Danio rerio: one gene and its partner. The protein of the gene in region 1 interacts with the protein of each later gene in a pairwise test. Links are inferred from orthologs where the notes say so. Each region holds a gene or a part of one and is shown on either strand. Other genes may lie near its edges.

What was found.
Region 2: the proteins of cops5 (region 1) and gfer interact in a two-hybrid assay, tested with the Homo sapiens proteins (2 studies listed by BioGRID). The link is inferred for Danio rerio from reciprocal best matches to the Homo sapiens genes COPS5 and GFER.

What each region holds. Positions count from the first base shown.
Region 1 is NC_133199.1:27,636,180-27,640,455, forward strand, and holds the start of cops5 (COP9 signalosome complex subunit 5), read left to right. Parts: upstream 1-1,303; 5' UTR 1,304-1,483; coding exon 1,484-1,620; intron 1,621-1,721; coding exon 1,722-1,956; intron 1,957-3,479; coding exon 3,480-3,608; intron 3,609-4,005; coding exon 4,006-4,071; intron 4,072-4,153; coding exon 4,154-4,239; intron 4,240-4,276. Other genes in the region: pign (GPI ethanolamine phosphate transferase 1), read right to left, coding at 1-14. UniProt on the Homo sapiens protein: Probable protease subunit of the COP9 signalosome complex (CSN), a complex involved in various cellular and developmental processes.
Region 2 is NC_133178.1:39,110,467-39,114,862, reverse strand, and holds the start of gfer (FAD-linked sulfhydryl oxidase ALR), read right to left. Parts: upstream 3,091-4,396; 5' UTR 3,076-3,090; coding exon 2,872-3,075; intron 1,645-2,871; coding exon 1,436-1,644; intron 1-1,435.

The DNA of each region.
Region 1 (4,276 bases):
GTCACCATCTTCATCTTGTCTCCAGTCAGACCTTTGACACTGATTTACAAAAAGAAGATACACAAATGAATTTATGAAAACATTCTGTTATTAGTCTAATAGATTTTTATTATGAATTAGTTTTACATTAGCAGGACAGTAGGTTCAAATAAGTTATATTGTACAACATTTTTTTAAAAGTAACGTTAGGGGTTTATTTAAGATTGTACTTACCTTTCTGCTAATTTGAGATTGAAACAGATTCATAAAGCTGATTAGTTGAAGGTGGACAGAAGACATATAAAGGTATCATGTAACGTTAATCTGTCAATGAAAGCACCGGGCAGAGCAGGAGTGCGCGGGAACGAAACGCCCTGAAGCAAAACCCGCGCATGGGCTTTTAATCTGTTTTAAGGTGCTTTTGTATCTTTGAGTTCTGACCTGCTAAACCAAATAGTTTGTAAGAAGATTAACTGAGAACTTTTCTGCACTTCCTTGTAGCAGTAACCTTTGAACTGTGTCTGCGCAGTGCATTTTGGGAAATGTAGTTTTTAACGCCACGTTAATATTTTCATAAAAACAAAAGAGGTGCTTTAAAATGCCAGCGAGTTTATGACTGTTTACAACTTTATTTGATTCAACTGAAATTTCTCCCTTTTTACAATAAAAAATTGCACAAAAAAAATAAAAAAATAAAAATTTAGAATAAAATATATAAAAAGAAACGTAAATTTTAAATGCTTTAAACAATAAATTAGTTTAAAATAAACAATCAAACATTATATTGAGATATAAAATAAAAAATAAACAATTTAATAATTGTAAAAAATAATGAAATAACTGACACAAATATGAGTACATAACATATTATAAATTATCCAACATGCAATTTTTAAAAATATTAAAACAATTGACAAATAAAGACAAATAAATACAAGTTTAATTAAAGAGGATAATTATTTTTTAAGAAAGTAAATGTGTTAATAATTAATATATTCAGAAATACAATATCATAATTCTATAATATAATACAAATAGAAATAGACCAAATATGACCTCTATTATTTGCAAATAATTAGGTAGATCAATTTTTAACACTATTTTGTCACATTACGAAGTGGGTCATTAAACAGAAATGACATAGATCGAACCATATCTTAGATAAACAACTAAACAAAAACGAATATATCAAGAAACAGTGGCGGTGCCATAGACTGTAAAACAGTAGCGGTCGGTTTGCGTTCAGGACTCTTATTTTGGCATCAATTTTATTCCTTAGTAACCCGTACGGTCGCTCGCTTCGCTTCACTCAGGTTGTAGAGTTGTTCAGAAAAGGAGTACTGCAAGAGCTTTGTTAATTATTGCTAAATGATCTATTTAAATAGTTAGATAAACTACACAATTTTAACATTATCTAGCTCTTCATATTTTATTAATTGCGAGTGTTATTAATCATACTTCGTTATAGTCGAACAGAAGATATAAGCCGACTGTAGTATTAGCTATGGCTGGCAGTAGCATAGCGATGAAAACATGGGAGCTGTCAAACAGCATGCAGGAAGTTCAGAGTATCGACGAAATATATAAATATGACAAAAAACAACAACAAGAAATTCTGGCGGCCAAACCGTGGACTAAAGAGTAAGTAAACAAAACCAAAATGATGTCTCCTAGAGGCCCGGCTTGTTTTCGAATTATTAATACCACTGTTGTGTAACCTACACTGTTTTAATTGTTTACAGTCATCATTATTTTAAATACTGCAAGCTATCGGCGTTGGCACTGCTGAAGATGGTGATGCACGCTAGATCTGGAGGAAACCTGGAGGTGATGGGACTTATGCTGGGGAAGGTGGATGGAGAGACCATGATCATCATGGACAGTTTTGCTTTACCAGTGGAAGGCACTGAAACCAGAGTCAACGCTCAGGCTGCAGCCTATGAATACATGGCTGCTTATATAGAGAATGCTAAACAGGTACACTGACTTATAATTACTCTAAAATTCATATTAGATGAATAGTGATAAATATAAGCACAGTTTGTTTATAAACATGATCATATCCACTGCTTTATATGTGGAGCATGTATGCTGATCTTTAAGATTTTCTAATCAAGAGCAATATCATCACAAATATTTTATTAATTGTTATTTATAATTATTCTGCATTACGTTTTTAGGATTGATCCAATGTTATGTGAGAAGCTACATGTTGTGGTTACCTTTTTAAAACGTGTATATAAAAATTACAATTTAAAGAGTAAAGAAAGTTATTGGTTTGTATTCTGTTTTCATGTTTAGGATTAATAGAGAGAATATATGAAGTAGTTGGACATCTAAATATGTATCGCATCACAGAACCATTTAAATCTAATAAACTCGAATGTGATTTAAAAAAAAATCTAAAATAAAAAGTGAACAGTTACCAGAACTAAAATAAACATGAATTGTATTCCTATACTCCTCTAAAAATCATCCTAGATCTTTTATAATTATTATTTATTTAGTCTTTACTTTCTAATATTAATTGAGAGACGGAACAGAATTCTTGTCACAGGACTTGAAACAAAAAGAAATTGAATGCTATTAAATTAAAAAGGTCTATTTGGAAAGAATGTATAGTTTTCGATACGTTGACATTCTAATGTAAGGGAGTGGGTCCACATAAAATATAATAAACCAATACAGTAGAGAACAAATAGAAAATAAAAGGCAAATAAAATATACAGTGCTTTATGATTTTCTAGAAGTCTAGCAATATTCAGATTTACAAATTTAATAATCCAGTGTGAAACCATTCTAACCATAAAGTTAGAAATGTAATTTCTTTTGCTAGAGTAAATGGTGAAAACGCACAGAAATAGTGAAGGTTTTGGTAACTTTATGGTTGAACGTTGCAATGACTGCACACATCATGAGTGTTTTCAAATGTGGTTCCTGGTCAATTATAATAACGGTTCGACATTGCAGATCCTGCGATGTGACTATTGCAGATGCGCACATTGCGGTATCAATTTTAAAACAGTATATTATGCAGCCCTATTATATAAATATAATTTTTTTTTTTTTTTTATTCAGTTTTCATACTTTACTATTGAGGGACTGCATGCAGTAAGGACACAGATGTGTTTATCACATCAAAGTAATTAATAAATACTACAAAAAATTTAAATACTTAACAGATGCAATACAGGAACAGAAATGAACAAGCAAATTAATTTTTTACTCTAACAATATTTTAAAGATTTTTTATTATTATAATTATCATTAATATTATTATTATTCAGATTGAAAGGTCTAATATTAATTGAGATATATTTGCCATTAAATATGATTTTAAAAATAAAATAAAAAATAAAATTTGACAAGCGACAGGAACTCAAAAATGCACTTTATAAATGTATAAACACATTATGCATCAATTCGCAATAACCAGCATATGAAAGAATTGATATGGAAGTTCAATAATTCTGAGGTTAATTGTCTATATATTTATTTAGGTGGGGCGGTTGGAGAATGCCATTGGATGGTACCACAGTCATCCAGGATACGGCTGCTGGCTTTCAGGCATAGATGTCAGCACTCAGATGCTTAACCAGCAGTTTCAAGAGCCCTTTGTCGCAGTAGTGGTAAGCGCTGTTGGAAATGTTAAACTTGTTGCATATTTTGCTGATTTCCCTCTTTAAAGCGGGTTACCATCCATCTCAAAAGACACAAGGGGAAAACAGCTCCGCTATGAAATAGTTAAAAGTATCGGTTTAAATTCAGCTTTATCAGTGATCCATAATTGACCCTCAAGACACAAATGAGTTGATGACATTTGTACTGCTGTCTGATTAATGACTGTTGCCTTTGTAACAGAATACATTATACAGTTTATCCTTCATTGCTTATGTAGTGCCGAGGGCAAATAGCAAGCTGGCGTTCATAACTTTCACTCGCAAAACTGGCAGCTTACTGTTTTTATTTGTTATATTTGACTGAACTCTTTTGCTAATTTCAGTCCTTGTAATTTTTCATCCTCAGATCGATCCCACAAGGACTATATCCGCAGGGAAGGTCAATCTTGGAGCTTTCAGGACATATCCGAAGGTAGCAACTATTTTTAGGCAACTGTATCTAATTTATATGCGTTTTATAAGATGTTGAATCACATTCAAATGTTTAAAAATAGGGTTACAAGCCTCCAGATGAGGGTCCTTCTGAATACCAGACGATACCTCTTAACAAAATTGAGGATTTTGGAGTGCATTGCAAACAGTAAGTGTGCATGACATATTGAATATATTTCCTTTTT
Region 2 (4,396 bases), on another chromosome or scaffold:
TCTCTGGACTGTGGGGGAAACCGGACCCTGGTCATATCATTCCTTGATATTTGTAGTTCTGAGTAGCTCTTGTTGACATGGCATTACAGTAACATTTCATTTAATGTTAATTGTGCACTTTGACAGATCATTAGAGCTAAACACATACAAACAAGGGACAGTACATTTATGGAGTTAACTCTGTGTTGTTTGCATGTGTTGTTAAGAGTTTGCTTGTGCATGTTGTCAAACTGATGAAGATGTTCACTCAATTTGTGAATGTTGTTTTATCTTGAAAATTGTTTGAGCTCTCTCGGCCACCACACGTTGCAGGTTATAGTAAATACTAGAATGGCACATGTCATTATGTCCCTATGTGATGCCATCTGACTGATTTTCAAATATCAACATACAGTTCATCATCTTTATGGTACCATATACAGTTTTTAATTTTAGGAAAGCATTTATATGTGGAGTGAAAAATGTGTAAACTAAAGGCCAAAAATCTAGCTGTGATGATACAGTATGTTAATGCTTTGAATGCTGTCAAACCAAGCTCATGCAGCAATGATGGAATTAAAGCACTGTGTGCTTGTGTTTGAAAACTTGATGTGATTTATTCCTGTGTGATGTGATTGGATAGGACTGATTATTCTACTAAGCCAATCACAGTAGGCAAGAAAAAAATAGAGTAGTTACTGCAGGTTGAAGGAAAATACGACAGTAAATGTTCTAATACAGTACTAAAAATGTACTTGGATAAAAGTACACATTTTAAAACTACTCGGTAATTAATTCCTTAGAAAAACTATGCAATTACAGTGATTTGTGCATTTGCAATATGTTACTTTACACCATTGGTCATGCTATACATGTAAACCAGGGGTGTCCAAACTCGGTCCTGGAAGGCTGGTGTCCTGCAGATTTTAGCTCCAACTTGCCTCAACACACCTGCATGGATGTTTCAAGAAAGCCTAGTAAGAGCTTGATCAGCTATCCCAGGTGTGTTTGATTGGGGTTGGAAGTAAAATATGCAGGACACCGGCCCTCCAGGACCGAGTTTGGACACGCCTGATGTAAACAGACCTTAGTAGAAACAAATTCTGCCCTCTCAGCCATGTCGTCAAACTTTTGATTACTGCTGTATCACTGTGCTGTAACCAAAAATCCTACATGACAGTAATAAAGTGATATATGCGTACATGTCTATATACCACACTTTGATAATATGAGTAAAATAGCACTACTCCAGATGAGTGAATTACACTTGTGTTTACTTTGAGTATAACTTTCTGTATTAATGTTAATAAAAATCTGTTTACATGGTAGAGATCGTTAATCAGAGAGCTACATTTAATATCAGAATTGTTGTCCATGTAAACAAACTGACTGAATCATGTGCTGCTGAAAACAGCAATGGACAAACATGAAAACCACAGCAATTAAAGATGAAGACCTTGTTCTCAGGTCTTCTGCGCATTCATCACATGGGAAAACCTTAGAGAAAAGGTTGATGAACTGCGTCATCTCGAGCTGCTGTTCTGTGCTCGGTGCATCTGGATAATACGCAGCCATAGTGTGAAGAAAAGACCACGAGCTCCTACCCAGCTCCTCGCGGTCCAGCGGACATTCAACAGGCTTCAGCTCCTCCACCGGCCTGCTCTCCTGTACAACATATCACGTTGCATTTTACGATTATATTCATGTTTTATATCACATTTATTTTAATATTGTTGCTGAGACTCTGAGGTTCCCTGGTTGAAAACCACTGTTAGAAAAAACAATATTAAAATAGATTTTATATAGTGCAGTGTTATAGTAACCAACGTATTAAATTAATGATTATTTTTACACATCAACTACAACTGACATGATTGTAATATCAATAAACTCCCTCACATCCCCAAATAGGTCATTTAATTTAAATAAACAATATACCAATTTAAAGGGTTCATAAACATTTGACTATTAAAATTAAATGACTTTTCCATGACTATCAAGTACATTTTCATAACCTAATGTTTCATGTAATGTCTACGTATACATGGTAAATAATAAGAAAAACAATGCACGTTCAAAATTATTACAGCATATCATAAAACATGCAACGATCTATTTATTTTAAATGAATCTTTATATCTATGAAAAATGTATTTAGTAAATGTTCACACAGCACTGATAATGTGAGAGGATGTGTTTGGCCATGGACAGAAACGAAGTAAAGACCACTAACCTATATTTAAGTATACAGATATTTGTTAAACTAATTTCCATGACTTTTCCCAATCTTTGTGGGTTTTTCTGATTTTCCAAAACTTTTCCAGGCCTGGAAAATGCCATGTCAAAATTCCATGACCGTCTGAACCCTGAATATATTATATCTTTATGCTACATGTTTCTTTAGCAAAACTGTAGAGAAAATATCATATGTCATATTGATTTCATGTTTTTTTTTTAGCATTCATTATCTAAATTGTTTTAGTGTTAAAGTGTATGTTTCTACATTTATATCCTATACTTAATCAATACTTAATTCCCCAACACTTATTTTTCATTTATATTCTATACTTATTACTTAAATACTTGTTAAATATTTATTACCCCACTGAATAAACATTTTATAACCACATCAACCATAACTTTAATAAAAATATTACCCCCACCGCCCGAAACAGTTGTCAGCCATATGAGCATATGAATATGAAGTTAGGGAATACTCAAATACCTTCTGACATGTCAAATCCACACCTTTACAGAGGCAGCTGTATTAAAAAGTACAAGTCCAAAACACTGCTATTCTTTTGATTGTTCACAATTAAAGCAGACATCGTGTTGGACATTTTAACGTTATATCTAAACAGAATTTTCTTGACTTCATTCATAATTGTTCACCTGCACCGAGGCTGAGGACGCCTGTTTCTGTAACTTCATCCATGACTTAAAATCCGTACAAGCTCGGCAAGGTTTCTTTTTCGTCTCTCCGGTAGTGGTCTGGTCATTACTCGTACTGTCCTCGGGTGGTTTGCCAGCCACGGGGAACGGGAAACCCTCCATACCCGCGCTGCTATGTGGAGACGACCCGTGTGCAGCTGCCATGTTGTTATGTAGGAGGGTTGCCAGATCTCTGTTAAATAGCCATCCTTTGGGCGTGGAAAACTTGCATAAAACTAGCCCAATCTTGACTAAACAAGTCAAAACTCGAAATATGCCTCTTCACATACACGTGCTCATAATACACAAGTATATATATTTTATAGTCACACGCGAATATTTCAATGTATGTAATCAGAGTTAGTCAAAAAAGCATCTTGCCTTATTTTTCATCAGAATATTATTAGATACAGGAGTTTTATTTTATTTTACTGACACTCAAAGAGCCAGTTCCAATATATGAAAAGGGATCATGGTTTCAACAAAAACAAAATCGTATTTATTTACTTATGAAACAAACAAGTCATCTACATCTCAGATGGTTTTAGGGTGAGTAAATAATTTTACAATTCGTTTTTAGAATTAATTAATTAATTTTTCACTTTTGTGTGAATTGTTTCTTTAAGATGAACAGTTTAGTGAATACAATATTTTGGAAAAAAAGTGGTTATTCTTTTTCAATAAGTTAAAATGTAGCTTTAAGATTTAAGAACATTATACTAAAGCTAATCTTTTACTTATAATCACACATTTCTGCACACATTTTAACTTTTTGCTGTGAAACATGTTGAAGTTAAAGGGACAGTTAAAGTGAAAATGTTATTATTATTATTATTAATATAATTATTTTTATTTACTTGTCCTAAAATGGTTCCTAACCCCTCAATTTGTGTAAAAAAAAACTTTGTACTTCAAATTGGTTTGGAAAAGTGCAGGATGAGTAAATATCCTCAGATTTTTTTCGGTGAAATATTTCTTCAAAATGATCAAATTGTGTTGTGAAATAGCAGATTTGGCAACCCAGCGTACGAATTGTTCATTTGAGTCGGATCTTATCTATGTGCATTATTAACCGGTTCTTTCACACAGCAGGACAGAATTGTAAAAAAAAAATTTGTGTCGATGTTGTGTTGTCATGTTGATTTATTTAAATGCTACACTACAAATTGGACCAAAATTACGTATTTAATTGTTAATTACGTGCAGTTGACCAAACAGAATCATTAAATCGGTTCCTTGTTCAAATGAACCGATTCGACGAAATTATTTCCAACCACTGTGCATCATTGTATGAACATCTGTCATTTACAACATGTTAACAAATGGTGAAATACCATGACTGACATATCGCACTAAATTTAGGTGAAATTTTAAATTAAGGACAACATTAACACGCAAATTCAGGAATGAATCGTTAAAGAAATGGTTTCATGCCGGAGAGGTTTCTCTGGCGCACTGTCCGACAGCGGGTGGTGACGTCACCAGC